4 linked regions of the Macaca fascicularis genome follow. The main gene of each other region encodes a partner of the protein of the gene in region 3 in a complex. Links are inferred from orthologs where the notes say so. Each region holds a gene or a part of one and is shown on either strand. Other genes may lie near its edges. The genes, in order: SHC1, FLNA, ITGB3 and ITGA2B.

Region 1 (4,342 bases), on a different chromosome or scaffold from region 3:
TCCAAGGTGAGCTTGGGTGAATACATTTTTTTTTTTTTTTTTTTTGAGGCAGAGTTTTGCTCTTGTCACCCAGGCTGGAGTGCAATGGCACGATCTCAGCTCACTGCAACCTCCACCTCCTGGGTTCAAGCGATTCTCCTGCCTCAGCCTCCCGAGCTGGGATTACAGGTGCTCACCACCACGCCCAGCTAATTTTTGTAGTTTTAGTAGAGACGGGGTTTCACCATGTTGACCAGGCTGGTCTCAATCTTCTGACTTCAGGTGATCCACCCGCCTCGGCCTCCCAAAGTGCTGGGATTACAGGTGTGAGCCACCTTACCCAGCGGGAATATGTATCTTTAACTTGTTTTTTGTTTTTTGGTCGCTTTCCAGCTTTGCCTATGGCATTCTCCAGAAGAGCAGTGGCAGGAAGCCGTGGGTGGCAGGAATGAGTTTGGGACTGTTCCCTGTGTCCAGCTTCAACCCATCTTCTCCTGACACCCCTTTCTCCTGTGCTTACTTGTTTTTTCTCCTGTTCTTATTGACACAGATGTGTCTTCTGATCTCTCTGTCCCTTCCTGGCCTGTCGTTTCTGCTTCTCTTGGAGAACTGTTTCTTCCACCTCCTCCAGCCAGGCTCCTCCCCTGGTGTGAGGGACACTGTGCTGTTTGGTGGGGCTTTGGGTCCTGTAAGAGGAGGGATATGAATTGGGGTGGTTTGGAGTGGGAGTGGGGACCTGATTGCCTCATTCTCACCCTTGACAGTGTGCTGTGTTAACAAGGCCTGTGGAAAGGGGAGAGGACAGTGCTTGGCTATGAGCCATGGGTCTTGGTGTGGTAGATGGCATACATAGAGAACAAGCCGTGACCAGCATGTCCTCTTGTTCCCCTCTTGCCTGGTAGCTTCCTGATGTACCATCCAGGTTGGACTTTATTCCCCTTTTTTCACCAACTTTGCTTCTCCTCTTGACCCTGCTCTGCATCCATTGGGACCACTTCCTTCCCATCCCCACTTCGCTAGCTCCAGTCCACAGCTGTCGTAGCAGAGGATGCTAATGGCCCAGGCTTACTGTATGGGGTAGTGGTTGGGGGTGGCCTGGGCTGGAGGGTGGGGAATTCGAGTGTCCAACCAGAACAGGAAGGGAAATGCTGAGCTCTGAGATCTCCTCCCTTTTCCACCCGCAGCTGCCTCTGTTTCCTCCCTCATTCCCCTCTACTCTAGCCTGGCTTCCTGCCCCCTTTGGCCTGCCTGTGTCCGGTTTCGAGTGACCCAGACCTCCTATCTCCTTTCTTTCCATCCAACTCCTCCATGCTTCCCTCCCACCCCCACTTTCCTTCTCCCCAGATTACTAGTTGTTTGTGTAGGGCAGGGGAGAGGAGCTTGGATAGCCCTACCCTCTGCTCCAGTCCGAGGTTGGGGCGGGGTGGGGGCTCAGCCCCTCTGAGCCTGTGAGTCAGCACTGTCCTCGTGATTGGTCTCTCCCTTTAGCTCTCCGCCCCTGGGGAGGAGCCAGGCAGCTCTGGGTCCAGCCTGTTCTCTTCTCAGCCAGAGAAGAGGCTCCACGTTGGGCGGGGATGGGGCCCGAAACTGTCTGGGTCTGAGCTGGGGAGCGGAAGCCACTTGTCCCTCTCCCTCCCCAGGACTTCTGTGACTCCTGGGCCACAGAGGTCCGACCAGGCTAAGGGCCTGGGAATACCCCCTGCCTGGCCCCCTTGCCCAAACTGGCAGGGGGGCCAGGCCGGGCAGCAGCCCCTCTCTCACCTCAGCTATGGATCTCCTGCCCCCCAAGCCCAAGTACAATCCACTCCGGAATGAGTCTCTGTCATCGCTGGAGGAGGGGGCTTCAGGGTCCACCCCCCCGGAGGAGCTGCCTTCCCCATCAGCTTCATCCCTGGGGCCCATCCTGCCTCCTCTGCCTGGGGACGATAGTCCCACTACTCTGTGCTCCTTCTTCCCCCGGATGAGCAACCTGAGGCTGGCCAACCCGGCTGGGGGGCGCCCAGGGTCTAAGGGGGAGCCAGGAAGGGCAGCCGATGATGGGGAGGGGATCGTAGGGGCAGCCATGCCAGACTCAGGCCCCCTACCCCTCCTCCAGGACATGAACAAGCTGAGTGGAGGCGGCGGGCGCAGGACTCGGGTGGAAGGGGGCCAGCTGGGGGGCGAGGAGTGGACCCGCCACGGGAGCTTTGTCAATAAGCCCACGCGGGGCTGGCTGCATCCCAACGACAAAGTCATGGGACCCGGGGTTTCCTACTTGGTTCGGGTGAGTGAACATCCTCCTTTCCATTGCCTCCCAGACCCCTCCAGTTCTTCTGCTCACTCCAGCTTGGCTGGAATTCTTTTTTCCTGCTGTTCCCCAACAACCCTGTTTCAGTGTTCTATTTCCTAAACCTTTCCCATCCCTTCCCCAATTCTGTAGCCCTTTCCCTTCCAGCTCTGCCTGGGCCCCCTTCCTTCTTTTGACTCCCCTACCCCCACCCTGCCATGCTTAGCACAATGCCCAGCATGGCAGAAGCTCTTAATAAGTGCTGGAAGGAGTGACTTCTTGATCCTTTCCTCCATTCTCCTCTCGCTTTCTGGAGTTGTTGCTCCATCCCAGTCAGTGCCTGTCAGTCCCCTCCAAACTCTCTCCCCAGTGCGTGAGGTCCTTCTAGCCTGCCTTTTCTTTCTCTGCTCGTTCCCTGTTGTCTTTCACCTTGGTTGTGGGATGTAGACACGGAAGAGGGCAGAACTTCTTCCTCTTTACTTCTCTTAGGGACCATATGGGCAAAGTCCTAGGGCCCTTTGTGAAGGGACTGGGGTCAGGGAGCGGCTGACCTGCTGTCCTCTCCTCCCTCCCCTTAGTACATGGGCTGTGTGGAGGTCCTTCAGTCAATGCGTGCCCTGGACTTCAACACCCGGACTCAGGTTACCAGGTTAGTGGGGAGGGAGTGGACTGTGGGAGTCCTGGGATTAGTGAGGCCATGGGAAAGGGCGGAGGGGAGTGGGTCACTTGGGTGCTGCTGGTTGGGGCTGATCTTTGGGTAGTAAAGGGGATTGAGAGAAAGCTGGGATAGTGATTCTGCCTCTTACTGAAAGGAGGCCCCTCTGGCCCGGATCCTCCTTACCTGTCCAGCCTTGGGAGTTGTGGGGAAGGTAGCAGAAGCAGCTGGCAGGTGGAGCTGGAGTAGCAAATGGGGGTAGATGGAAGGTTGCTGCTGCCTTTGGGAAGGGAATGGGACATTTGGTAGCTGGAAGGGGGTGGGGCTATACCCATTGAGGCCCTAACCCAATCAGCCAGGAAGCGGCCTCTCAGTGTCATCAAATATTAAAGGCCCTTAATTCAATCCACCACGACAAAGAGCCTGGAGTGCCCTGGGAGTCTGGCCTGGCTTTCCCCTCCCCCAGCTCTGTGGCAGCCCCAGTTGAGTGGGAGGCAGGCAGGCAGGCGCTGGGTCTGAGTACCCCTCTTTCCCCAGGGAGGCCATCAGTCTGGTGTGTGAGGCTGTGCCGGGTGCTAAGGGGGCGACAAGGAGGAGAAAGGTACTTGGGGTCCTTGGGGATAGGGATGCTGCTGGGAAATGTGGAGGGACAGTGAGGAGGCAAGTGTGGGGCATGTGGGGAGAGGGCCAGGAGACAAGAGTATGGTTTGTCTGTGCTGGGAACCCTCACCTTCTAAGACCCTGGGCCCTACCTTAGCCCTGTAGCCGCCCGCTCAGCTCTATCCTGGGGAGGAGTAATCTGAAATTTGCTGGAATGCCAATCACTCTCACCGTCTCCACCAGCAGCCTCAACCTCATGGCCGCAGACTGCAAACAGGTTGGTGGAGGTGGGCAGGTGGACCAGAAACACCGATGGGGGTGCTAAGGGGAGATCTAGTTAGGAGGCCAAAAACTAGGAAGAGGGCTTGAGAGCAGAAGACCAGTAGGGAAGGAGGAAATGAGGATATGGGATAAGGAACCCAGAGAATGAGACTGGGGCACCAGGGTTCTGGGCCCTGAGGCTGCCTGACACATGGCATTCCCTTCCTTCTCCATCCCCTCCCCTAATTCTCAGATCATCGCCAACCACCACATGCAATCTATCTCATTTGCATCCGGCGGGGATCCGGTGAGTTGGGGAACAGAGCAAAGGTGGTGGGAGAAGAGCAAGGGGCTAGTGATTGGGAAGACATTGATTAGAGAAGTGGGGGTGCTAGGACTGTGGGGATATCTGAAAAGGACTGGGTTTTAGGGGTCAGGAGTAAAGTGGAACTGTAAAATTTTCTGACCTTCCTCCCCAGGACACAGCCGAGTATGTCGCCTACGTTGCCAAAGACCCTGTGAATCAGAGAGGTGAGGCATGGTGGGGAGCACTGGGTGGGTCTGGCTGTTTGAGGTGAGTA
Region 2 (3,558 bases), on a different chromosome or scaffold from region 3:
CCAGAATGGAGACTAAAACATCCCACACTCCCCACATGACAATAGGCACAGCCAGGGAGCTTGGCACCCATCCTCAGCCCCAGGGCCTGTCCAGCACTAGGAGGAGCTCACCTGGGTGTTCTCAAGTTTTTATCCTATACCTGCCCCATGAGAATATTACAGGTGGGGAAACTGAGGCACAAAAGGCTTTGGTGACATGCTCAAAGTTAACAGCAAGTGCATGTCTGGGGAAGCCTGTGCCTGTCACCACTATCCTAAGGTAGTCACAACCTTAGCGAACCAAAGACAGGGGCCCTGTCCTTCCCTGCCCTCCTTGGTGCAGCTCCCCAGGGATATCAGACACTGGCCACCACAGCCCACACTCCAGCCTCCCAGGCCCAGGCCCCCTTGCCTCCCCTGCTTGTTCCTGGAGCTCACCGTGATCTGGACAGCCAGCAGGCCCTCCCCAGCATCCTTTGCATCGATGGTGAACTCCACGGGCAGGCTGGCGGGCACGCCAGTGGTGTTGAGTCCGGGGCCACTGGCCTTCACCTTGCTGGCATCATGAGTAGGCAGCACCTTGACCTTGAAGGGGCTGTGGGTATGGGTGTTGTGACGAGCAGTCAGACAGGTTCTCAACATCCAGCCTGGGCTACTCCCCACAGGCAGCAGGCCCTGCCTCTTACCTCCGGGGCACCTCTTCATCTCCATACAGTACTGAGATGCTGTAGGGCCCTTCTCGGCTGGGCACATAATTGACAGTCTGGGTGCCATCAGCGTTGTCCACCACGTCCACTGGCTCCACCAGGCCTGGCCCCAGCCCCAGGGACAGAGCCTCAGCTAGTCTCCTAGGCCTCCATTCCTATCCCACCACACTGGACTGCCAGGACCCAGCCCCAGGCCTAGACCTCGCTTTATCCTCATCCGCCCGACCCTGGGAATAGCCTTGACCCCCTCTGACACAAGACACCCATCTGGGTGCCAGCTGGGAACCTTGCCCGCCTGCCTTCCTGCCACATCTGCTCAGTGACCAAGTCCCATCTGCTCTACCTCCTCTAAGTCCCCTCCTGGATGCACTGTCATCTGAGGCTCTTCCGAAAACACCTGTACACTTGCACTCTGGGCCTCCAGTCTCCTTTCCCAGCCCTCAAAGAGGACACTGCCCTCCCGACCCCCGGCTCCAGGCATGCAAACACTCACCTTTGGGCCCTTGCACTTTGACCTGCAGTGGGGCCACACCAGCCTTGCTTGTGTCCACCTGGAAGGACTGAGGAAGGTTGGCACGAACCATGCCTGGGCTCAGGCCGGGCCCAGAGCACTTGACCTTGGACGCATCTGTCACATCATGCACAGGGACCTTGAAAGGACTGCCTGAGGGTTGGGGCAAAGGTATGGCAGCTGTATGAGACAGGGTGGGGTGGAGCAGACAGTCCCAGCCCTGCCCTGGCTGCCACCTCCTCACCTGGCACTTGATGGCCACCATAGGTGACATTGAGGCTGTAGGTGCCAGCCTCATAAGGAATGTACTCAACTGAGCAGCTGCCATCCTTGTTATCCATGCAGGACATCTTGGCCTCGGAGGGGCCCTCTACAGCCAGGCCCAGGCCGCCCGTGCCAGCTCCCCTGGTCCAAACAGACAGCCGGTCATTCCTGGGGTTCCCAGGCCTACTGGCCACCCAGGCTCCTGGGGGCTCCCTCACCTGGTCTCCACAGTGAACTTGTTGGGCTTGTTGGTGGTGCCACTTTGGATGCCTGGCCCATGGACACGCACCCGGGAGGGGTCGCAGCCCTCAGTCACGGGCACCTGGAAGGGGCTGCTGGGCACGGGGCTGCCGTCGTAGGTCACGTCCACCGAGTGCAGTCCTGGAGGAGTGCAGGCCAGGTCAGGAGGAGCCCGGGCCACCCCACCCACCACCGTCCACCAGCCTGTGGGAGCCCCAGCACGCACCCTCCTCGTAAGGCGTGTACTCCACTTTGTACGTGCCGTCGCCTCGGTCCTGAACGTAGGTCTCTGTCAGGTTGCCTGAGGGGTTGGCCACACGGGCCTTGACGTGCGGCCCTCCGGTCTGTGTCAGAGCCCGGGCGTCCACACTGAACTCAGTGGTGGCCTCACGGAAGACACCTGCAAAGGGACACAGAGAGGAGGCTTGGGGCTCTGGGGTTCTGGTCCCTGTGTCCCCGCTGCCACATACCCCACGGCAGGGCAACTCACCCTGGCCCTCAATCCCAGGCCCGTAACACTGGACGCCGGAAGTGTCCACTGCGGGCTCCACCTGCAGCTTGCTGGGGAAGTTGGGCACAGGCTGGCCGCCGTACTTGATGGTGACAGTGTAGGCCCCGGGGCAGAGAGGAATGTATGTGATAGTGTGCGTGCCGTCGCCGTGGTCCTGGATGTACACCTCGGCTGGCAGCCCCGCCTCTGAGCAGATCTCAATGGTCAGCTCTGCACTGCCTGCACTCGAGCAGTCTACTTGGAATTGGCCCACTTCCCCAGCGGTGGCCCGCTCCAGCCCAGGGCCTGAGCACTTGACTTTGGATGCGTCAAAGCAGGGAACCACATGGGCCTTGAATGGGGAGCCAGGGATGTGGGTGTCAGCGAAGAGGATGTTGATGTTGTAGTCCCCGGGCTCGGTGGGCACATAGGACACGGAACATGTGCCGTCCCCGTTGTCCAAGCACTCGAGCTGTGCCTCGCAGGGGCCCTCCACTGTCAAGCCCAGGCCACCTGTGCCGGCGCCCTTGGTGTCAATGGTGAAGCGGGCGGGGGAGCCTGCACTGCCTCCCTGCAGCCCCGGCCCAAACGCCTTCACCTGAGGGAAGAAGGGGTCAGGAGCCAAGGCCATGCTATGCCCCTGACCCCAGACCTCCTGCCTGACTCTCCACCTGCCTCCCCTTGCCCTGGCTTCCTGCCCTCACCAAACAGGGATGCTGGCGGGCCCAGGCTGCCTGCCAGATGGGCCATCCATCAGTCATAAGGACAAAAAGGAGGGACGGGCGCGGTGGCTCACACTTATAATCCCAGCCCTTTGGGAGGCCAAGGCAGGTGGATCACCTGAGATCAGGAGTTTGAGAACAGCCTGGCCAACATGGTGAAATCTCGTCTCTACTAAAAATACAAAAATTAGCCAGGCGTGGTGGCAGGCACCTGTAACCCCAGCTACTTGGGAGGCTGAGGCAGGAGTATCGCTTAAAGCCGGGAGGCAGAAGGTGCAGTGAGCTGAGATCACGCCAGTGCACTTCAGCCTGGGCGACAGAGTGAGACTCTTTCTCAAAAAAAAGAAAAAAAAAAAAAGAAACAAAAATGCTTTAACCCTGATGACTTTTTGTGGGTTTCTATTTCCCTCCTCCCCTTTACTCTCACTTAAACTGGGTCAAGGTTAACAGTCTGTCTCAGAAAAAAAAAAAAAAGGAGGATTGAGGGCAGGTCTGGAGAAGATGGGGTGCTCTCTGGGCCCTCAGAGAACACAGTAGGTTCTACCCTTAGGGCCTCCCATACCCCAGTTACCTTGCTAGGCTTGGTAGGGGCCACAGCTTCCACAGGAAAGGGGCTGCCAGGCACAGGCACGCCGTCATAGGTCA
Region 3 (3,558 bases):
GGGTGTGGCAAAGCCAAAGTGGGCTATACGTATCCACGGGAGGAAAGCTCATCATGAGCTGGGATGGCCAAGGAAGTCTCCTGAAGGAGGTGGGGCCTAAGCTGGGCCCTAAGAAAGGAGGAGGATTACCAACAAGAAGGCAACTCCAGGTGGGAGACAGTGGACCAGATCACTGCTGAGTGGAAGAGGGAGAGAGGTGAGTAATATTTGGAAAGAAAGACTGAGACCACACGGTGGAGGATCATGAGGGCCAGGCCAAGGCATCGGTCAGTAGTTCCAAAACAGAGGCCTAACCCAGTGCCTTGTGCAGGGAAGCAGCTCCATTGTATTAGTGCATTAAATTCAAGCAGGAAGAAAGAGGTGCTTAGTTTTGACACCACTGGCCTGCACCTCTTTGTCTATCCCTGGAGTTCACAAGTAGACTTCTGTGCTACTTACCCTTCTTGTCTCACTGTACCCCCCGCCCCCCACTCTTTTTTTAGTTTTAGAGACAGAGTCTTGCTCTGCTGCCTGGGCTGGAGTGCAGTGGTGCAGTCATAGCTCACTGTAACCTCCAACTCCTGGGCTGAAGCGATCCTCCTGCCTCAGCTTACCCAGTAGCTAGGACTGTAGGCACTTACCACCACATCTGGCAAATTAAATTTTTTTTTTTTTTTGTAGAGATGGGGCCTTGCTATGTTGCCCAGGCTCTTGTCTCACTTTCAGCATGAAGTGAAAAGGTTTAAGCACCACAACTCTCTGAGCCACAGCCCAAGCAAGATAAGTTCTAAGGTTTAGACCCTAGGGATGTACATGGCACTTCATTAACTTCTACATCCTTCATTTTTCTAGGATTATCCCTCTTTGGGGCTGATGACTGAGAAGCTCTCCCAGAAAAACATCAATTTGATCTTTGCAGTGACTGAAAATGTAGTCAATCTCTATCAGGTGACTGTGCCTTCGGGCTTCCTGGAGTGGGCCCTGTGATGGTGGGAGCCCCAGGTAGCCAGCCTGTGCTAGCGTTGGCCATAGTCCCCAACCAGGAAAGACTCTCCCCTAATCCACTGCCCAGGAGCTAAAGATTGCACTCTGGGCCTTTTTCCTGCAACCTTGAACTTACGAGGTGTGTGCTGGTGTTTGTGGTGATGGAGGGGAGGTGGCAAAGGGTATGAGAGGCTTCCTCTACTTTTGCTCAGGGCTGAAAAACTGCTAGATATATTCCTGGCAGTGACCACTGAAATATCCCATACCTTCCTCCAATCTTCATCTCAGGACTCTCAGTGGGATTTGAGGAGGGCTTTAGGAGACCACCACCTTCCTTCGGTAAGCTCTGGACATCTTTGTCGTCCTTTCTAGAACTATAGTGAGCTCATCCCAGGGACCACAGTCGGGGTTCTGTCCATGGATTCCAGCAATGTCCTCCAGCTCATTGTTGATGCTTATGGGGTAAGTGTCTTGTGCTGGGAATAGTCCTGCGGAGAGTCCACCTCATTTGGCTTACACAGCAGGGCTCAGGTTTGTGAGTCCCAGGTGCCAGTCTACCACACGATCTTACTGCCTTCTCCGTGTGCTCCCAGAGGCCAGGCAGTGGTCTGCTCTAGAAGGGATGCAGCCTTCTGAGAAGGAAGTAGCCCAGAAAGAAAGAAAGAAAGGGGATGGGGATGGGGATGGTGATTAGTTGGAGAAGGAGCAGAGCCCTGGAATTGGGGCAGAGTGAGGGAAAACTGGGCTCCAATAACAGGGAAAAGAGAGAGCTGAGACATGGGGAAGGTGAGGTTGATGAAACATTAGGTAGAAAATGCTGCTTTCCAAGGTGACCAGTACTCCCCTTTCGCAACATCTGTGAGGCGTGCGGGAGGGTGTAGCTGGTACATTTTACCCAGACTCACCTAGACGCAAGTGGAGATGGAAAGAGGGAGCAGGTTCCTGTGCAGGAAACAGAGGAGGAAACAGAGTCCTAGGGGTGCTCCGGCAGCTTCCAGGTCAAACCTTGGCCTCTGGCACTGCTGGGGTAAGTCCAGAGCTACTTGGCAGATTTGGTTTGGGATGGAACTGGCTCTTGCCATTTCCCATTTCCTTTCAGTTCATTTTCTTGTCTTCTTGTGCCCCTTTGTGCTCAGAAAATCCGCTCTAAAGTCGAGCTGGAAGTGCGTGACCTCCCTGAAGAATTGTCTCTATCCTTCAATGCCACCTGCCTCAACAATGAGGTCATCCCTGGCCTCAAGTCTTGTATGGGACTCAAGATTGGAGACACGGTGAGATGGGCTGGGCAGGGCCTTTGTACTGGAGCATCTGTGAGCACCCAACCCCCTTTCTTCTTTTTGTAATGACTAAAAATGGCCCCCTTCCGCCAGAAAAAATATGGGCAGGAAAAATACCTTTCCTGAAAGTCATTTCAAGTTAGATGTAATGGATCCACCAATCTTTTCCTCTGGGGCTTCTGTTGCATAAGCTATTTCTGTTACGTGAACTTAACTCTTAGGAATTTAAAAAACTTACAATTTGGTTACCTTTGTTTGTGTATGCACAGTTGATTGCAAAGGAAAATATTTCTTTACCTTCAGTCCCTCACCAGTCTCCAGCTTTCCCAAGGTAATTAATACCTTTCTTTTGTAAAATGACACAGGAAAGTAAAATCTAAAATGTAAAACGACGACATCATCTATAAATATTTATTGAGCACTGACATTGTGTCAGGCATTGTTCTAGTTGCCGAGAATTTAGCAGCAAATGGAAAAGGCAAGAGTACCTACCCTCATGGAATTTTTGAAGCCAGATGTTCATTTCACCATCCAGTCCCTCCACGACTTTCCTTATCGGTCGTTTCTCCTCTGCTTCTGCCTAAGGGGAGAGGAGTTGGTGGGAGGGGAGGAAGGAGGGGAAGAAAATAGATCTTTGGATGCAGTGATCCTTTCTCTTAATCTATCTATCTTTCAGGCACTTGTGCAAACATCCCATGTTAGAAATATTGTCCTGAAACATGCTTTATTGCATAAACTATAAAATGTGTGGAAATTGAAGTAGATCCTGAGCTTATGGTTGACCACTATGTGGGATTGTGTGGTGCAAAACAGTGCTTTGTGCATCTTGCTGATAATTATAATCAGTCCAGCTTGCTTAGCTGGCCAGAGCAGGGTGTTTATATGATCACAGGTTCTGTTCAGTTTCAGCTGGTCTATTTCACACGTGAAGTAAAAAAACAGCCTTTTATTATTTATTGACTGTAGACCATGTCTCTGCATCCAGCTACATATGTCACAATGATACTATTCCCGTGCTTGTGTTTTTGCTTTGCAGACCTTCACAGAGGTGGAGGTCTGTGGAACCTGTGGAAGGTTTGCTTTGCAGACCTTCCACAAAGCCTGAGGAACTCCATATTGCAAAAGCATAAGACACCCAATTTGGGTATTCCTTGGCAGGGCAGGGAACAACTTTTTTTTCCCTCCAGAGCTGGAGTGTTAACTGGGCCCAACTGTGTCTAAATACAATCTTGCTTTCCATCCAGGTGAGCTTCAGCATTGAGGCCAAGGTGCGAGGCTGCCCCCAGGAGAAGGAGAAGTCCTTTACCATCAAGCCCGT
Region 4 (3,558 bases), about 2.8 Mb from region 3:
CAGATGGGAGAGATGAAGGAGACTAATTAGGATGTGTTTGCCTTAATCCGGGCAAGAGACAATGACCACCTGGATGTGGATTTTGGCAGTGGAGTTAGAGATGGGAGTGACTTCACAGATATTTAGGACTTGGATTCTTAGGACTTGGTGGGAGACTGGATGTGGGGCCAGGGGAGAGATTGGAGTTGGGTGCCTGTGATGCCCTCCACTGCCTGGAACTCAGGCCGTGCAGCAGGTGCTGGGGAGAGGTGGGAGATCAGCAGTTTAGCTCTGGACCTGTTGAGCTTGAAGGGCTTGGGTGCTTTAGGCAGAAATATCCAAAGAACAGTGGGAGTGGCTTTCCCCGCTTCCACAAGATCGATCTGAATGGGAGACAGGGGTTTGGGGAAAGTGGATGAGGTCCCGGGACCTGTGAAATTAGAAGAGGCCCAGGATAGAGCCCTGGGGAGCAAAAGCATTTAGGTGACTCATACAGGAGGTGAGTCTGAGGAAGAGACGGAGAAGTGTCCAGAGAGGGAGGAGGGAACCCAGGGGGTGTGATGGCCAGGGACTCAAGGAAGAGCATGTGTTAAAAAGCATGTGCAGGAGGAAGTGGGTGCTGCAGCTCCTGATGCTGCTGCAAGGTACAATTCGATGGGGCTGGAGAAATATCCATGGGCTTTAGCAAGAAGAGGGTGCCGGGCACGATGGCTCATGCCTGTAATCCCAGCTACTTGTGAAATTGAGGCAGGAGAATCTCTGGAACCCAGGAAGTGGAGGTTGCACTGAGCTGAGATCGCGCCACTACTGCACTCCAGCATGGGCAACAGAGCAAGACTCCATGTCAGCGAAAGAAAGAAAGAGAGAAAGAGAAAGAGAGAGAGAGAGAGAAAAGAAAGAAAGAAAGAAAAAGAGGGGAGGAGGTTATTGGTGACAGTGACATAAATTGATTCAGGTCAAGGTAGGGTCAAAAGCCAGAATGCAATTGGGTAAGGTATGAATGGAGGTGAAAAATTGGAGGCAGCTAATGTAAACAGCTCTTTCAACAGGTTTGTGGTAAAAAGGAATTTGAGGAATAGAAAGAAAAAAAAAAGGACATGTTTGACTATGAGAGGAAAAAGAGAAAAGGTGATTATGGAAAAGAGATGAGGGTCAAGGGAAGATTATTTCAATGTGGAAGAACATGGAGTAGGTTGAAAATGATGTTGTGGGGAAATGGGGGGATGAGCCAGCAGAGAGTCCCTGTGATGCCTCAGGGAGTGGGAGGATGACTGGCCCAGTGTCAGGGTAAAGGAGGGAAACCTCTTCCAGGGTCAAATGGGGAAGCGGGAAGAAAGTCAGTATGGGATTATAGCATAACAGTGGGCTGCTTCTCTTCCTGAAGTAAGGGATTATGTCACCTGCTGAAGGAAATGACGGGGCTGGGAGCTTGATGGAATGGAGAGGTTAGAAATAGATGCTAGATGGCCAGGCACGGTGGCTCACACCCGGAATCCCAGCACTTTGGGAGGCCGAGGCAGGAGGATCACTTGAGCCGAAGAGTTTGAGACCAGCCTGGGCAACACAGGGATATCTTGTCTCTATAAAATTTTTTTAAAATTAGCTGGGCATGGTGGTTGTAGTCTCAACTGCTTGGGAAGCTGAGGTGGGAGGATCGCTTTAGCCCAGAAGGTTGAGGCTGCAGTAAGCCATGGTTGCACCACTGCACTCCAGCCTGAATGACAGAGCAAGACTGTCTTAAAAATAAAAAAATGTTAAAAGGTGGCTCACACCTGTAATCCCAGCACTTTGGGAGCCCAAAGTGAGCAGATCACTTGAGGTCAGGAGTTCGAGACCAGCCTGGCCAATGTGGTGAAACCCTGTTTCTACTAAAAATACAAAAATTAGCCGAGCATGGTGGTAGGCGTCTGTAATCCCAGCTACTAGAGAGGCTGAGGCACAAGAATCACTTTAACGGGGGAGGCACAGGTTGCAGTGAGCCGAGATCGCACCACTGCACTCCAGCCTGGACAACAGAGCAAGGCTCTATCTCAAATAATAATAATAATAATAATAAATTTAGAAAAAGGAATAATGATGCTTAATTTTCAGGATATATTTTCCTCAATAGACAGTGAGAGTTGTCACTGTTTTTATAACAATCCTACTTGGCAGGTCCCTCTCCCACCTGATTGTCAACTCCTGGAGGGTAAGGCAGCGCCTCCTTCACCTACCCTTTGTACCCCTTTCCCGGTCTCCTGGGATGTGCCCAGAGAAGCTCAGGAAAGCTTTACAGTCATCTAGGGAGGCTGAATAACAATCAGCCACTCCCTTTCTGTTACTCTTCCAGACATTGCAGTGGCTGCCCCCTACGGGGGTCCCAGTGGCCGGGGCCAAGTGCTGGTGTTCCTGGGTCAGAGTGAGGGGCTGAGTTCACGTCCCTCCCAGGTCCTGGACAGCCCCTTCCCCACAGGCTCTGCCTTTGGCTTCTCCCTTCGAGGTGCTGTAGACATCGATGACAACGGATACCCAGGTGCCCTAGACTGCCTCCAGTTAGAAATGCCCAAGAAAGGCCCTTGGACTTTTGCTGGAAGTGCCGAGAGACACAGCCAGGGGCTCATGGCTGGCCTGGTGTCCCACTGTGGACTGCCAGAGGGGCTGGGTGAAACCTCCAGTGGGGGAGGTGGTGTGGGGAAACCCCTGGGAAGATGAGATGAGGGATCCCACGCCCTCTCTAATGGCCAATTCTGACCCCTTCCTCGATGTCTGTAGACCTGATTGTGGGAGCTTACGGGGCCAACCAGGTGGCTGTGTACAGGTAAGCGCTGGCTCCAGGGGCAGGATGGGGAAGGTCCCATGCCATCAGAGGAGGCCAGGCCAGGAGGAGCCACAGTGGCAAGCCTACCCCATCACCCCATCCCATCAGAGCTCAGCCAGTGGTGAAGGCCTCCGTCCAGCTACTGGTACAAGATTCACTGAATCCTGCTGTGAAGAGCTGTGTCCTACCCCAGACCAAGACACCCGTGAGCTGGTGAGGAGGCAGAGGGCATGGGCCTTGAAGGATCTGGGACCTCAGAAAGGCCCCAACCCCTGAGCCCCACTTACGTCTTTGCAGCTTCAAAATCCAGATGTGTGTTGGAGCCACTGGGCACAACATTCCTCAGAAGCTGTGTGAGTGGCATGAAGGGGATAGGAGGGAGATGGGCTTGGACTCCCCCGGAGGCTGGCCAGGGAGGTCCTGACTCTTCTGCTTGCCCTGCCAGCCCTAAATGCCGAGCTGCAGTTGGACCGGCAGAAGCCCCGCCAGGGCCGGCGGGTGCTGCTGCTGGGCTCTCAACAGGCAGGCACCACCCTGAACCTGGATCTGGGCGGAAAGCACAGCCCCATCTGCCACACCACCATGGCCTTCCTTCGAGTACGCCCAGGCAGGGGATTGGCAGGGCTGGGCGAGTAGAACACACCCACTGCACTTGTTCTTCCAGCCCCAGGGTACTGAGCTGGGTGCTGTGAGTCCGGGGGTAGTCAGGACACGGTGCCTACTGGCCAGAAGGTGGGATGTGTATGGCAGCAAGATGGCCTGACTCTTGCCCCCGTCCTAGG

What was found.
Region 1: the proteins of ITGB3 (region 3) and SHC1 are in contact, whole or in part, in an NMR structure (PDB 2L1C), measured with the Homo sapiens proteins. The link is inferred for Macaca fascicularis from reciprocal best matches to the Homo sapiens genes ITGB3 and SHC1. Residues at the interface, in NP_000203.2 of Homo sapiens: Trp765, Asp766, Thr767, Ala768, Pro771, Leu772, Tyr773, Lys774, Glu775, Ala776, Thr777, Ser778, Thr779, Phe780, Thr781, Asn782, Ile783, Thr784, Tyr785, Arg786, Gly787, Thr788; in NP_892113.4 of Homo sapiens: Ser175, Met176, Arg177, Asn182, Arg184, Thr185, Gln186, Thr188, Arg189, Glu190, Ser193, Leu194, Arg208, Arg209, Lys210, Arg214, Pro215, Leu216, Ser217, Ile219, Met257, Gln258, Ser259, Ile260, Ser261, Phe262, Ala263, Ser264, Gly265, Pro268.
Region 2: the proteins of ITGB3 (region 3) and FLNA are in contact, whole or in part, in an NMR structure (PDB 2MTP), measured with the Homo sapiens proteins. The link is inferred for Macaca fascicularis from reciprocal best matches to the Homo sapiens genes ITGB3 and FLNA. Residues at the interface, in NP_000203.2 of Homo sapiens: Lys742, Ile745, Thr746, Pro771, Leu772, Tyr773, Lys774, Glu775, Ala776, Thr777, Ser778, Thr779, Ile783, Tyr785, Arg786, Gly787, Thr788; in NP_001104026.1 of Homo sapiens: Gly2236, Arg2264, Ala2268, Gly2269, Gly2270, Leu2271, Ala2272, Ile2273, Ala2274, Val2275, Glu2276, Gly2277, Pro2278, Ser2279, Lys2280, Ala2281, Ile2283, Phe2285, Asp2287, Gly2291.
Region 4: the proteins of ITGB3 (region 3) and ITGA2B are in contact, whole or in part, in a cryo-EM structure (PDB 8GCE), measured with the Homo sapiens proteins. The link is inferred for Macaca fascicularis from reciprocal best matches to the Homo sapiens genes ITGB3 and ITGA2B. Residues at the interface, in NP_000203.2 of Homo sapiens: Ser188, Pro189, Tyr190, Tyr192, Ile193, Ser194, Pro195, Pro196, Tyr204, Asp205, Met206, Arg242, Asp243, Pro245, Lys279, His281, Ile282, Ala283, Leu284, Asp285, Arg287, Leu288, Ala289, Gly290, Val292, Gln293, Pro294, Asn295, Asp314, Tyr315; in NP_000410.2 of Homo sapiens: Gln49, Phe52, Arg72, Trp141, His143, Asn145, Glu152, Ala153, Glu154, Lys155, Pro157, Arg184, Phe191, Tyr197, Glu199, Phe202, Pro217, Tyr221, Phe222, Phe262, Asp263, Tyr265, Tyr268, Thr290, Trp293, Thr294, Gln315, Met316, Ala317, Tyr319.

The regions. Positions count from the first base shown.
Region 1 is NC_088375.1:106,174,592-106,178,933, forward strand, and holds the start of SHC1 (SHC-transforming protein 1), read left to right. Parts: upstream 1-1,526; 5' UTR 1,527-1,747; coding exon 1,748-2,242; intron 2,243-2,823; coding exon 2,824-2,894; intron 2,895-3,437; coding exon 3,438-3,501; intron 3,502-3,657; coding exon 3,658-3,777; intron 3,778-4,014; coding exon 4,015-4,068; intron 4,069-4,240; coding exon 4,241-4,292; intron 4,293-4,342. UniProt on the Homo sapiens protein: Signaling adapter that couples activated growth factor receptors to signaling pathways. Participates in a signaling cascade initiated by activated KIT and KITLG/SCF.
Region 2 is NC_088395.1:160,372,398-160,375,955, reverse strand, and holds part of FLNA (filamin-A), read right to left. Parts: coding exon 3,485-3,558; intron 2,790-3,484; coding exon 2,192-2,789; intron 2,102-2,191; coding exon 1,928-2,101; intron 1,843-1,927; coding exon 1,680-1,842; intron 1,603-1,679; coding exon 1,442-1,602; intron 1,351-1,441; coding exon 1,180-1,350; intron 790-1,179; coding exon 666-789; intron 575-665; coding exon 418-574; intron 1-417. UniProt on the Homo sapiens protein: Promotes orthogonal branching of actin filaments and links actin filaments to membrane glycoproteins. Anchors various transmembrane proteins to the actin cytoskeleton and serves as a scaffold for a wide range of cytoplasmic signaling proteins.
Region 3 is NC_088390.1:68,264,502-68,268,059, forward strand, and holds part of ITGB3 (integrin beta-3), read left to right. Parts: intron 1-831; coding exon 832-927; intron 928-1,335; coding exon 1,336-1,425; intron 1,426-2,099; coding exon 2,100-2,234; intron 2,235-3,484; coding exon 3,485-3,558. UniProt on the Homo sapiens protein: Integrin alpha-V/beta-3 (ITGAV:ITGB3) is a receptor for cytotactin, fibronectin, laminin, matrix metalloproteinase-2, osteopontin, osteomodulin, prothrombin, thrombospondin, vitronectin and von Willebrand factor.
Region 4 is NC_088390.1:65,441,997-65,445,554, reverse strand, and holds part of ITGA2B (integrin alpha-IIb), read left to right. Parts: intron 1-2,308; coding exon 2,309-2,491; intron 2,492-2,730; coding exon 2,731-2,776; intron 2,777-2,884; coding exon 2,885-2,989; intron 2,990-3,073; coding exon 3,074-3,129; intron 3,130-3,221; coding exon 3,222-3,373; intron 3,374-3,557; coding exon 3,558-3,558. UniProt on the Homo sapiens protein: Integrin alpha-IIb/beta-3 is a receptor for fibronectin, fibrinogen, plasminogen, prothrombin, thrombospondin and vitronectin. It recognizes the sequence R-G-D in a wide array of ligands.